3 linked regions of the Cricetulus griseus genome follow. The protein of the gene in region 3 purifies or fractionates together with the protein of the main gene of each other region. This does not show direct contact. Links are inferred from orthologs where the notes say so. Each region holds a gene or a part of one and is shown on either strand. Other genes may lie near its edges.

Evidence for each region. Proteins that work in one complex are often made in the same cells at the same time.
Region 1: the proteins of Tuba1a (region 3) and Txndc9 purify together in Homo sapiens (affinity purification with mass spectrometry; 3 studies listed by BioGRID and IntAct, counting the BioPlex papers as one, with this or other methods). This does not show direct contact. The link is inferred for Cricetulus griseus from reciprocal best matches to the Homo sapiens genes TUBA1A and TXNDC9.
Region 2: the proteins of Tuba1a (region 3) and Dnaja1 purify together in Homo sapiens (affinity purification with mass spectrometry; 3 studies listed by BioGRID and IntAct, with this or other methods). This does not show direct contact. The link is inferred for Cricetulus griseus from reciprocal best matches to the Homo sapiens genes TUBA1A and DNAJA1.

Annotation. Positions count from the first base shown.
Region 1 is NW_023276807.1:10,255,546-10,259,575, reverse strand, and holds the start of Txndc9 (thioredoxin domain-containing protein 9), read right to left. Parts: upstream 2,801-4,030; 5' UTR 2,787-2,800; coding exon 2,669-2,786; exon of another isoform or gene 2,628-2,668; intron 1,460-2,627; coding exon 1,251-1,459; intron 1-1,250. UniProt on the Homo sapiens protein: Significantly diminishes the chaperonin TCP1 complex ATPase activity, thus negatively impacts protein folding, including that of actin or tubulin.
Region 2 is NC_048595.1:101,876,114-101,880,280, forward strand, and holds the start of Dnaja1 (dnaJ homolog subfamily A member 1), read right to left. Parts: upstream 2,801-4,167; 5' UTR 2,663-2,800; intron 2,294-2,662; exon of another isoform or gene 2,278-2,293; intron 1,589-2,277; 5' UTR 1,579-1,588; coding exon 1,447-1,578; intron 1,317-1,446; coding exon 1,139-1,316; intron 1-1,138.
Region 3 is NC_048595.1:395,417,920-395,421,898, forward strand, and holds the start of Tuba1a (tubulin alpha-1A chain), read right to left. Parts: upstream 2,801-3,979; 5' UTR 2,704-2,800; coding exon 2,701-2,703; intron 1,416-2,700; exon of another isoform or gene 1,121-1,415; coding exon 898-1,120; exon of another isoform or gene 761-897; coding exon 612-760; exon of another isoform or gene 555-611; intron 356-554; coding exon 1-355. UniProt on the Homo sapiens protein: Tubulin is the major constituent of microtubules, a cylinder consisting of laterally associated linear protofilaments composed of alpha- and beta-tubulin heterodimers.

The DNA.
Region 1 (4,030 bases), on a different chromosome or scaffold from region 3:
GAGCTCTTCCACTGAGACACACACACACTCAGGTCTATACTTTAAAAAGAATAATGTTCTTACAGGAAACTACGGAATGCTGAGAATGGAGAAATAGTCTTCTCTAGGGAAGAGCACACCAATTGGTTATTCAGTACCAAATGGTCAGCCTTTAAAATGTACATGTGAGTAACATCCTACACACTGAGCAAACTAACGATATTTAGAAATACGTATGCATATATACACTTATGGATGTAACAACAATCGATGAAAACAGGCCATGAATCTGAAAGGGATGGTTTGGAGGGAGGGAGAAGGAGGGGGAAATGATGGAACTGTATTATAATCTCAAAAATAAGAAGTAATTAAAAAAGACAAAAAACAAACCACCCCATGAAATAAACCTGTCAATTTGGGGGGTACAGTGTGGTTACTGCAGTTCAGCAGCTTAGGAACCCAATGATCTCCTTCTGATAACAATCTCAAACAGGCAAGGGCTTCTAGACTAGCCATCAGTGAACAAACTCCTCAGAAGGAAAAGTATTCTACTCATGGGGTGTCCAGAACCAAGGAAAACCTCACATATAATTCAACTTCGAAACCCAAGGCACACACCCCTATTAACCAAGCCTGAGAACTCTTTCAGCCCCTTCCACCTTTCCCTTGGCAGAGACTTTGTCACCTCAACTAGACGCTCACTATGCCTTTCAATACCCTTCCCACCATTTACTGAACCTTAATGACCTTTCTGAGCCTTCATTTTCTCTTTTGCAACTGGATATGATAAAACAATCATCTCACTGAGTTTTCGTGAAAATAAATGACAATGCAGAACTGGGCGTGGTGGTACACGCCTTCAATTCCAGCACTCCTGGAGGCAGAAGCAGGCCAGTCATGGCTGCACAGTGAGTTCTAGCCTGCCACCTCCACTCCTCCAAAACAGACAATTTAATAAGAATGCACACATGCTTAAACACTTAGAAATATCTTTTCCCATGGAACTACTGTATGTCTTCAATTTGATATGTGGACCCTAAGATTGGTCTGAAAGAGAAGTTTTAATCTCTCTCTTTACATGCCAGCTCCTTGGTTACATGTTTTATCTTGCCTAAGTCTTCCCTCAAGTTTTATTCCTGGGAAAACATTCAACAGTGACAGAGAGTTCAATTCAGAACACCCTGAAAATGAGGAGGGAAGGTCACATGACAGCACACTGCAGTCAGGAGCCAGTGCCAAGGCGATTTCAGGGAGCAGGCCAGAGGGGTTACTTGTTTCTGTTGGTGGGCCTTCCTGAGTGCCGCCAGCCTCTTTTCTTTGAGGAGTTCCAGCTCATCTTCACCGATTTGATCCAGTTTCTGAATTTCAGAGTCCAAGTGACTTTCCACGAGCTTAGCAGCCTGGAGGAACTGGTTCTCTATGACCTCTGAGAACATGTCGATGGATCCATTACCTTCCATTGTTCTAAATCGTCCTGATGCTGGGAGAGTCAAAAACAAAAACAAAAACAAAAACAAGCATTTCATTTACACTTTGGGGGTTTTGTTGTTGTTTAAACACAGGGTCTTGGTAACAGGGCTTGAGACAGTATCACAGTAGAAGTCATTTAGTCATTCTGAGACCTTAGAACCTAGCATGTAGGCCCCAACACCTGCTGAAACCGGGATAAAGACCCAGTCCATCAAAGACCTGGTCCACAGTTCCAGGACCCAGGGAAGTCTCTAATTGTACTAACTTCCTTTATGGCTTCTGTAAATTTTAGCCATTTTTTTTCATGGACATTGCCATAAGGAGTTTCATTCCTATACTTCCTCAGAAATACCCTAACGAAAAACAGCTATACAGGAGGTAGGTTTATTCGAATTGGAGGCCAGGAAAAGTGAGACAGGAACAGAAGACACTGCGTCCAATCATAAGCATAGAGAAACGAACACCTGCATGCCTGCGTCCAGCCTCCTCTCTACACCTAATCTAGGTTTACCAATTCGGGGAACAGAACGGTGCTGCACAGATGGGCAGGTCTCCTTGCTTTAATTAAAGCAATCAAAACCATCCTCACTCCCCACTAGCCAGGCCCACGGTCCAAGCCGATCTCACAGACGTCTCAGAAACACCACAAAAATCATCTCACAGACAAAATTATCCCCGCAGGAGAAATATATAAGAATATAAGGCTCGGAGCTGGAGAGATGGCTCAGACAGAGGTTAAGAGCACCGACTGCTCTTGCAGAGGTCCTGAGTTCAACTCCCAGCAACCACATGATAGCTCACAACCGTCTGTAATGAGATCTGGTGCCCTCTTCGGATGTGCAGATATACACGGAAGCAGAGTGTTGTATACATAATAGATAAATAAAATATTTTTTAAAAAAAGAATATAAGGCTCTGCACTCGGGATTAAACAAATGACCGGCCACGAAACGAGCTCGTCAGAATGTTGACATTATCTAAGCACAGCATTCGCTTATCCACGGGGGAATCTTTTTACAGGGAACTTTTGCATTGAGGTTCGGAGCTTCACGAGAGCCGCGCTAGGGCAGGCGGTGGTGGTCGCTGCCTTAGACGGGGGCGGAGGGGTCAGGAGATGGATGGCTCAGAGGTTCCCCATAACTTCCTGTTGACTGAACCAGCCCGAGTATTCTTCTTACCGATGAACTAACTCGGGGGCTGACACCTAACAAACTCCTACCCGAAACCCCGACCCCAGGTACCGCTCTGCAGATTCTTGGCCACTCCCTGAGCTCCAGAGACAGGTGGAGGAGTTCCGGGGGGACGATACTCGGCACCACCTGGGGCCTGGGGCGCATGCGTCACAGCCTCCGGCGCACACACCAGGCTGTCCCGGCCGCGCCCTCCCCCCGCCCCGACCCCGCCCGGCCGGGTGTGCAGCCGCGACACGGCCTTCAACCCTGGAAAGCGGCTCCTCCTTTGCGTTACCCGGGCTATCGGTGATGCCTACGAAGGGAGGAAGTTGCAGCTCAAGAATGCCGATCGGGTTCACGCAGGTTTCAGCCTCGCAGCGGTTGTTAAGGGCGAAGGGTCTGCCGGCTCTTCCTTTTCATTGGCTAACGTCCTCTCGCGATGCACGGTGAGACAACCGCGGAAGGGGCGGCTGGCGAGTGACGAAAGCCTCGGAGAGTGCGAATCTCCTCCGCCACCCGGAACTACAAGATTGCAGCCCCACGCTTGTGGGCTAACGACCGGAGGCATGAGCGCTAAGGACGTTGGGAATTGTAGTTTTCCTTGTGCGCAGGCTGCGCGTCCGCACTCGCTGTGCTCCCTCGAAAGGAGCCCGGTCTTGCTCCTGGGCGACCATGGGGCTTCGTTTCCTTTGCGTTTAATGGTTTCTAAAGTTGAAGCGTAGCTCACCACAGTGCACTGTAACTACGTAGCTCACACCAATCACACCGCCCCACACCAGATGGAGAACATTCTTACCGCGTCAGTCTTCCCTCCTGATTTCCTGCAACGCATGGAGTCTTTAGAGCTTGCTCACACGAAGGATTCATATCGTGGGAATGGTCGCTGTACCCTTGAGTCTTTCCCCCTTAATAAATGTGCACAGTGCTGCTAAGTGTACGAAGTGTTATTTTATACACGAGTGTTAGTTACCGAGGGGGACCCCCTTTTTTTTTTCTGGGTGTTACGTTCCCTGGGGAACCCCGGAAGGCTCATCATGGGCTCCTTGCGGTCCCGTAATGGATGAAACTCCCTGCCACTGAGGAAATGCAGGGTTGAGGGAGTTTTCAGTGCCAGTCCCGAGTCGAATGCCAGCCCCGGGGAGGGTGCTGACGTGAGTGGGAAACGAAAAGCCTCATTGTCGACAGGGCTCTAGGTTCTAGAATCCGGGAGCTGCCGGGCGTCGGCGCGCGGCAGTCCCCTGCGGCTAGGGGGCGCTCGGGTTCCCACCTGGCCGGCGGGTCCACTGAAGACGCTCTATCCGAAGCGCCGCTCTCGATGAGCCGCGCCCTGCGTCCCCACGCCGAGGCGGCGGGGCGATGCGCTTGCGTACTGAGGTCTCACACCATATGTGCCCTGTCCCAGTGCGCGG
Region 2 (4,167 bases), about 290 Mb from region 3:
AATTACCCTCTATGGTTAATAAGTTCCTAGCCAGTGATCCTTCCACTAGGACTTTATCCATCACCAAATGGCACTGCCTGGTGGCTAACAACAGTTTCAATCCTTTCTGACCATCATACCTAAAGGAACATTTACTCTTTTAAGTGAGATGTTAAGTATCATATCCTTTTGTTTCTAGCTTTACTTTAGATTTCTACTATCACAAAAAGAACATGTAAGCAGGTTCTTCCAAGTTGAAAGTTGCCCATTTCTTAACTTTGTATACAGAGTACAGAAAAGGAAAAACAAAGCTTCTGGAAACTGACCAAGTATACTTTCCAAAGCAGCAGCAACAAAAACCCTCATATTAAAATAAGCCAAAAGTTAGTAGCTCATACTATCCTTATGGTTCACAACAGATTTTTTTTAATTTTAATTTTTGTGCATACATGTTTGTATGAAAGCCCAGAGGTCAGAAGAGGTTATCAGATCCTCTTGAGCGGGAGTTACAGGCAGTAGTGAGCCATGCACTGAAATCTGGATCTTCTGCAAAGAGTACAGTATTCTTAACCACTGAGCCACTTTTCAGGGCCACAACATTCATTTCCAGTAAATTCTTGTAAAAACACAGTAAACAAAAATGAAGTACTATTGACCTCCAATGCTATCTTCCCAAGAAGTCTGTCTAGCTCAGAGACAACTTTTTTGTTAAAACATTAAATGCATATAAACTGAGTTAGCAAGCTAAAGTAAGATTAAACAGGCAGCAGGTTATCTGGAGGCAATGAGCTGTTTTCAGTCTTGGCTTGCTATGTTTCAGTTTTCTCAACTCTTCTTTAACTGATAAAGGCCATTACACTTAACCATTTGTGTTTGTTCTAGGGGCATGATGTGTAAGGGCTTAGAAGCCCAGGTTGCCATGCTGTTATCTTACTGTTTGGGTATCTGTGGATGGGAGATACCCACTAGATTGGCTTAGCTATTTTGATTACATAAAAATCTCAACTATCTAAATTTCTTTTTTAAAAATCTCAATTTTAAATGACACCAGAAATCAGAGGCATCATACCAATATGTAAACAAGCACTGAAGGTAGTAAATTCAGTTTTTCAGTAGCAGCCATTTCATTCTGCTGCAGGTAAGCTGTACTTTTTCTTACCTCTCCGTTCTCTTTGCATCCTCCCTCCTCCTCCAAAGAACATGTCAAAGATATCCATGGGTGAGCCAAAACCACCACCTGCTCCGCCCTCTTTAATGGCCTGTTCTCCTCCTTTATCATATAATTCCCTTTTTTTGGAATCAGCAAGAACTTCATAAGCTTGAGAAATCTGTTTAAACTGTTTCAGAAAAAGAAATCCCATTAGAAATAACTGTCACACGGCACAGCCACTGTATTACAACCTTGACTTTCGGGCACCAGCAGTACACACATGGCAACACTGCTGAACTGTTCGAGAATGTACTTGCCTTTTCTCCTTCATTTGGATTCTTATCAGGGTGGTACTTCAAGGCTAATTTTCTATATGCCTTCTTCAGTTCTTCCTGGGTGGCATTGGGTTTGACCCCCAAAACATCATAGTAAGTGGTTTCTTTCACCATCTTTCACAGCCTGAAATCAGAAAAACGGGGAGCTTTAAACCAGCTTTTAGTGCTGTGCAGAAGCGCCACCTGCCTCTGCCTCCTGAGAGCCGGGTTCAAGGTGTGAGCCACCATGACCGGCTTTTAATTGGTAGTTTTTAGCAAACTACCAGAACTAGAGCAATCTGTTCTTTGCCGTATAAAGAACACTGCCTTCGCTAACTTTAAAGCTATCAATTCCTGATATGATCTGGCTGAAAATTCTAACAGACTAAATATAAACGTAAATTGCGGGGAACTCGAAAGCCTTTCTAGCAGCTGGTTCCTACTCTGCCGCACTAACACATGTGTGATGGGGCTCCTTCCGGTTTCCTTTCCCCACAGGTTGTGCTAGTAACCCAAAGCAGCACTGGTAGGTTCTGTCCATTGGTTAGTACATTAGCACTGCCTTTGTACATCTGATAAAGGCCCTCACTCGCCGGAAAAGGACAGTGGACTCCCGGGGGTGGAGGAGTGGCTTATGAGACCAGCTCCGGGGAGCAGGTGCCCCCGGCCCCGTCGCCATCCTGATCCTGCTCGCCGCTTACCCACTCTCGTCCCTCAGGCCCGCCAAGCTGACTCGCCCTCTGGATTTCCCCCCAGCACCTGGCGCCTACAGTTAAGGTTTCCTTCCTTTCTCCCTCCCACCCGGATCGAAAAGGCGGAGGGGGAAGGCCGGACCTCAACAAAGAGAGGGAGGAGAGCCAGGAGAAGAAGCACAAGCCGCAGCCTCCGCCCGGCTCCTCCCGCAGCCCCTCACCCCTGCCTCGGTCCGCGCGTGCGCAGCGCTGCCCACCCGGCGCGGGCGGCGGGGAGAAAGGGGTGCGCACCGACAGGAGTCTGAGGCGGGCGCCGAGTTGGCTCGGGCCTTGGGCCTCCTCGCGGCGTACAGACGGTCGGGGAGGGCGCCGGGCATCCCGGCGGCCTTCCGAAGCCGGATTCCGGCTCAGGGAGCCCGCAGCCCCTGCCCACGCGGGGCCAACCGCCTCCGGCTGCGGCTCCCCTCGGCTATCTGGCGCCCAGGCCGCACGTCGCGGCCGAGGAAGGCCCGAGGGCCGAGACTCACCGGTGAGCGGGCCGGTGCCGGAGAGCGGAAAGAGGAGCGTAGCACAACGCAGTTGGGGCAGACGCTGCTCCTCCACCTCCCACGGAGCGTTCTGGAAAGTTCCGCCCGGCCCGCCGCAGCCGACCTCTTTTGTAGCCGAGCCCGGGCGCGTCACTCGCCGGAAGTCCCGCCCCACGCCGCTGCCGCCGCCCCTCGGTTACCTGGGCAACGGCGCGGGGGCGCTGGGGTTGGGAGTGGCCGTGCCCAAGGGCCTTGTGGGGGTGGACTCAGGCCCGGGTTCCGAGACTCGTGGAATCTTCTAGAGGCCTTTCTTTACTGTGAGGGCCCAGAGTGCGGAAGTCTTGAAGTGCAGAGGTTATGTATGCCGCAGGCGCTTCGCCGAAGGGGACCTGCCGGAACCCAACCCCAACCCTAACCCCACCCGGAGCCTAATTTTTTGCAGCCCCTTATTTCTGAGCCCTGCAGGCAAGAAATGCTGAGCCAGACCGGCCTAGTCGCCAGACCAACCTTGCAGGCTTTGAATCTGGTGGTTTCACCCAAGTGCACTTCCGTGTGAGAGCTTTCTGGGCGAGCCCAGGCTTCAAATCCTTAAGTCTCCAATGCCTCAGGCCGAGGGAACCTGGGGCTGCAGCAAACAGGGAATGCTTTATGTAAATTGAGGGCAGTGGATTCTTTTCTAGTCAATCTCCCACTACGTTTGACTGCAGAGTAGCAACAAAAAAGAAAATTTCTTTAGCTAATTGTTTTAATTTTCTGACCATCTTTAGGTCTAGTCAGCGAATCAAAATCTGCAGTTGGCAAAGTGAACCTTAGGCCTTCAAAGGACAGAATGAAAAAATGGAGTGTTTTTTTCTTATTCAGTAACCCAGTAGACGTATCAAACAAAGCAGCTGGAGGTGCAAGCTTGGGAAAGTAGAGTTGACATATTTTATAAAGATTTACTTTCAATCTTGTGTGTCTGTGTAGGTGCCCAAGGAAGTCAGAGGCATGGAGTCTGTTCAGGTTACTTTTATACAGAGACTCGTATATTTTGTTTGGATTTTTTATTTTTATATTTACTGTATGTGTATGAGTGTTTGGTTTATATGTGTGTATGTGCACCACATGCATGCCTAGTGCCCCTGGAGGTCAGGATAGGGAGTGGGATCCCAGGTAATTGGAATTACAGGCTGTTGTGAGCCACCTGGTGCTTTTAACTGATAAGCCATCTCTCTCTACCCTCCTTGGCTTTGTTTTTTCAGAAAGGGTCTTGCCACATTATAGACCAGGGTAGCCTAGTACTCTCTGTAGCCAAAGCTGGCCTCAAACTCTGAACTTCTCAGCCTCCAGGCAGTTGTGAAGACTAATACATGCTCTTAACCACACCACTGAGCCTCCTGCTTAGAATTTTGTTGGATGTTGAACAAAGCAAATTACAAGAGAAGTCACAAAATGTAGCTCAGCACTTGTACAAAACGCAGTTGAGCACATTTCCTAACGGACAAAGAAAGCACTGGAAGCCTAGG
Region 3 (3,979 bases):
ATCTGAGGGAAGCAGTGATGGAAGACACAATTTGACCTATCAACCTATTTAGGTTAGTGTAGGTGGGGCGCTCAATGTCGAGGTTTCTACGACAGATGTCATAGATGGCCTCGTTGTCTACCATGAAGGCACAATCAGAGTGCTCCAGGGTGGTGTGGGTGGTAAGGATGGAGTTGTAGGGCTCAACCACAGCAGTGGAAACCTGGGGGGCTGGGTAGATGGAGAACTCCAGCTTGGACTTCTTTCCATAATCGACAGAGAGCCGCTCCATCAGCAGGGAGGTGAACCCAGAGCCAGTTCCCCCACCAAAGCTGTGGAAAACCAAGAAGCCCTGAAGACCTGTGCACTGGTCAGCCTGTAGGAAAAAAAGAACAGGCATTGTTTATCAACAGGGCATACTCTCAGCACTGCTTGCAATTCCTCAAGATGGCAAACCACATTTACTTGAAAGGAAAAAATTGTGAATTGGTATTAAAAATGATCTCATGACCCATAGACCACATGTACAAGTCTACTTAATTAATGTAGTGAACAGACTTTACTTATTTTGGCAGGTCCCAACACTCCCCCACACTGCATTTTAAATGAACCCATCCATCTATGGTATTTACCAGCTTGCGAATTCTGTCCAAGACAAGATCAATGATCTCCTTGCCGATGGTGTAGTGGCCACGGGCATAGTTATTGGCAGCATCTTCCTTGCCTGTGATGAGCTGCTCAGGGTGGAAGAGCTGGCGGTAGGTACCAGTGCGAACTTCATCTGGAAAAGGAGATGAAATCAACCATTCACAACAGTAACTGACACACACAAGCTCACTCACTCTTCGGCGGTGTGTGGAGAGGTTCTGAGTATGTGACCAGGACAGAATGCCTCAGGGAAACCCCTGGCCCACTTACCGATGACTGTGGGTTCCAGGTCTACGAACACGGCCCGGGGCACATGCTTGCCAGCGCCTGTCTCACTGAAGAAGGTGTTGAAGGAGTCATCTCCTCCCCCGATGGTCTTGTCACTTGGCATCTGGCCGTCAGGCTGGATGCCATGTTCCAGGCAGTAGAGCTCCCAGCAGGCATTGCCGATCTGGACACCAGCCTGGCCAACGTGGATGGAGATGCACTCACGCTGTGGAAAAGGGGGAAAAATTATGAAATTAAGCTGTATTTCTATTTTAGATTTTAATAGATTTCTAAAGTGTTTCTAATAACACAAATATTGTTGAAATTTATTTGGAGTCATATCCCTCATATGACAGAAACAATAATGAGTACCTGATACAAATACTGCAAAGGGGTGTGGTCTGAATAATGTCACCTTAATACTAAGACTTGGTGCAAACCCATTGTTCTCACAGCCATACTTAAATAGAAGAGTTTTCATGTTCGAAAAATACTTAATACACTGATACTGTAAAGTGAAATAATTGTCTGGAATTATTTTAATTGCTTCTTTTCCTGATAAGTAAAGATGAATGCTTCATCTTTTGTGATCTGGTATTTCAACATGGACATCAGTACTGCGGCTGCGGGCAGGAGCCACACCCTTCTGCAGAACTCATCAGCACTAGACAAAGTGTGACTTCTGCATTGCTGTGTCTGCTGTGCCTGGTGCTAGCCTGTGCCCTTTGTTACATTATTTAACAGAGAAAGCTCTATTTCCAGCAGCTGTCTATACGATCCCCTCGCTGCTTTCAGTTTCCTAACCCTCTTAACCCTGTCTGGGCCATTTGCCTGAAATAATGAATTAGTGAAGATGTATTAGAACAAAAGACAGTTGGATACGGAGTATAATTTTTTTCCTTGCAGCAGTTTCATTAGATAATGAAGATTTTCCAGAATCTTTTCCACTATATAGAAGCAAAATATTCTTAAAGCTAAGTTAGAAACAAGGGCCAACAATAAAAACCGAGTAAAAAGATAACATTTAAAACTAGAAAATGGTATTTTATTCGATGAATCTTTACATACCACATAATATATTAGTATTATTTATTCTATAGAGATAGTTTTCTATTGTCTTTAAAGCTACAACTTTCATTGTCTGCGGGGGTGGGGGGTGGGGAAGGGCGTTTCCCTGGGTTCTGACAATCAGGGTAGTCGAGGCAACCTCACCAACTATCCAGCCCCTCTCTCCCCAGCGAGATGTCCTGGTGTTAAGTAAATCGTACTTTTGACACTCAAGCAAACAAAACCTCTTGTAAGATTACAGTTCCACAGCAATTTTTTAAAAATAAAAATACAAAAACCACTCCCGAGGGAAGTTTAGAGAGGGCGAACCCCTCCCAAAACGCCACGGAAGCAAGAGACAAACAACCCCGCCCCTGCGCCTCCCTGACACCGGCTGCCATGGATCCGACGCAAACTAACCATTTTCCCATAGAAGTGGGGCGGCGTTTCTGGAGTGAGGGCTCGGCCGCCGCCCTGCTCGCCCGCCGCAGCGCACCCCTCTAGCCGTGAACCCCCGCCCTGACGGCCCAGGCTGTGCGAGCAAACACTCGCAGGAGCCTTTGTTCTTCCCCGGGTCTGGGCGTTTCCCTGCCCCGCACTGCGGCTGCGGGATTTACGGACTCCGCGCAAAGCTCAACTTAACAAAGCATTGAGACCACCCTTCCCCGCAGGGGTGACAAAGACTTAGGCTTTCCCTTGAAGATCTCGGGAGACTGATTCCACCCAGTTACGGAGGACCAGGGAAGAAGGCTGGCTCACCATGGTTGCTGCTTTGCGGCTGCCCGGAGGTTGGCGGAGGCGAGGAGGAGGTGTTGCTTCTTACAGCGCGACTCTTAGGCGGTCGATGTAAGAGAACCTGCGGCACATGGGCGGATGCGGCTCCTTATATACAGCTCGGTCACCATGGGGATGGGCCACGGCCTTTTCCTGTTGGTCCAGACCCCTCCGTCTGCCCAGAGAAGCCGCGACAGGAGAGTGGTGATTGGTGCAAGCGACATGGTATGAGGTAATCTCTCCCCCACCCCTTCCCCCTAGCATCCGTAGACTTTGCATCCTCAGACAAAGGCTGAGCAAATGCAACTAGCGGAGCATCCATTATGGGGTGGGGCTGGGGAGGGGAGGGGAGGGGAGGGAAGGGAAGAAAGAAAATCGGGGCTGGGTGATTATACATGACTTAAACCTTAAACTATAGTTAAAATAATCCAAGGTTTTCCCCTACACTTAATCACAGACTTTATGGTTTTTTTTTTTTAATAGAAAATTCCAGCATTTCATACACAGTACACTAAATTTGACCATATTCCCTCAGGATCCAAAGTCTTTAATTGCTTTTAAAAAACCAGCAGAGATAGAAATGATGGTCCAAACGGCTTGGGTAAATGCCGATGTTTACAGTTATTGTTACTGTTGTTTGAACAAGATTCAGAAGCCCACTAAGAATAGGCCAGCATCGTAATCTAAACTGCAGCTGGGGTTCAGAGGCAGGAAGATCTGCAGTTCAAGGTCACCCTAACTGGCACGTAAATCCCAACCTTGGAGGAGCTGAGGCTGGAGGATTACAGCTGGTTTGAGGCCAGCGTGGATTATAGTGTGTGATCATGTCACAAAAAAGCAAAAGAGAACGAACTAAAGAGAAATAATATACAAAACAGAATTTATAGTTCACCATAGAGCTAGCTTTGTTTACGGACAGCACTCCCTACCACCCCTCCACACCCACTCCCCTCCCCCGAGCCTGTGCTATTTTATCTGTAGAAATGAGCTATCCTTTCCAATACAGGGTTCCGAAACTATAAGGAGAAAGAATTGAGTTTTAAAACTAGCTCTTTCTTTGCGTGGGCTTATATTTCTGCATTGCTCTTCTTTGGGGAGGGGTGATATCAAGTAAAACATGACTGAGATACCAAATTTTTAAAAACAGAGAAGAGTTATATAATATAAAAGGAAACCATTTTGTAATGTTGCTTTCATCCCAGACAACTGTGCAATGTCAGCCCGTCTGCAGTTCATTTTACGTAGTTCCCTAAATTCTGTAAAT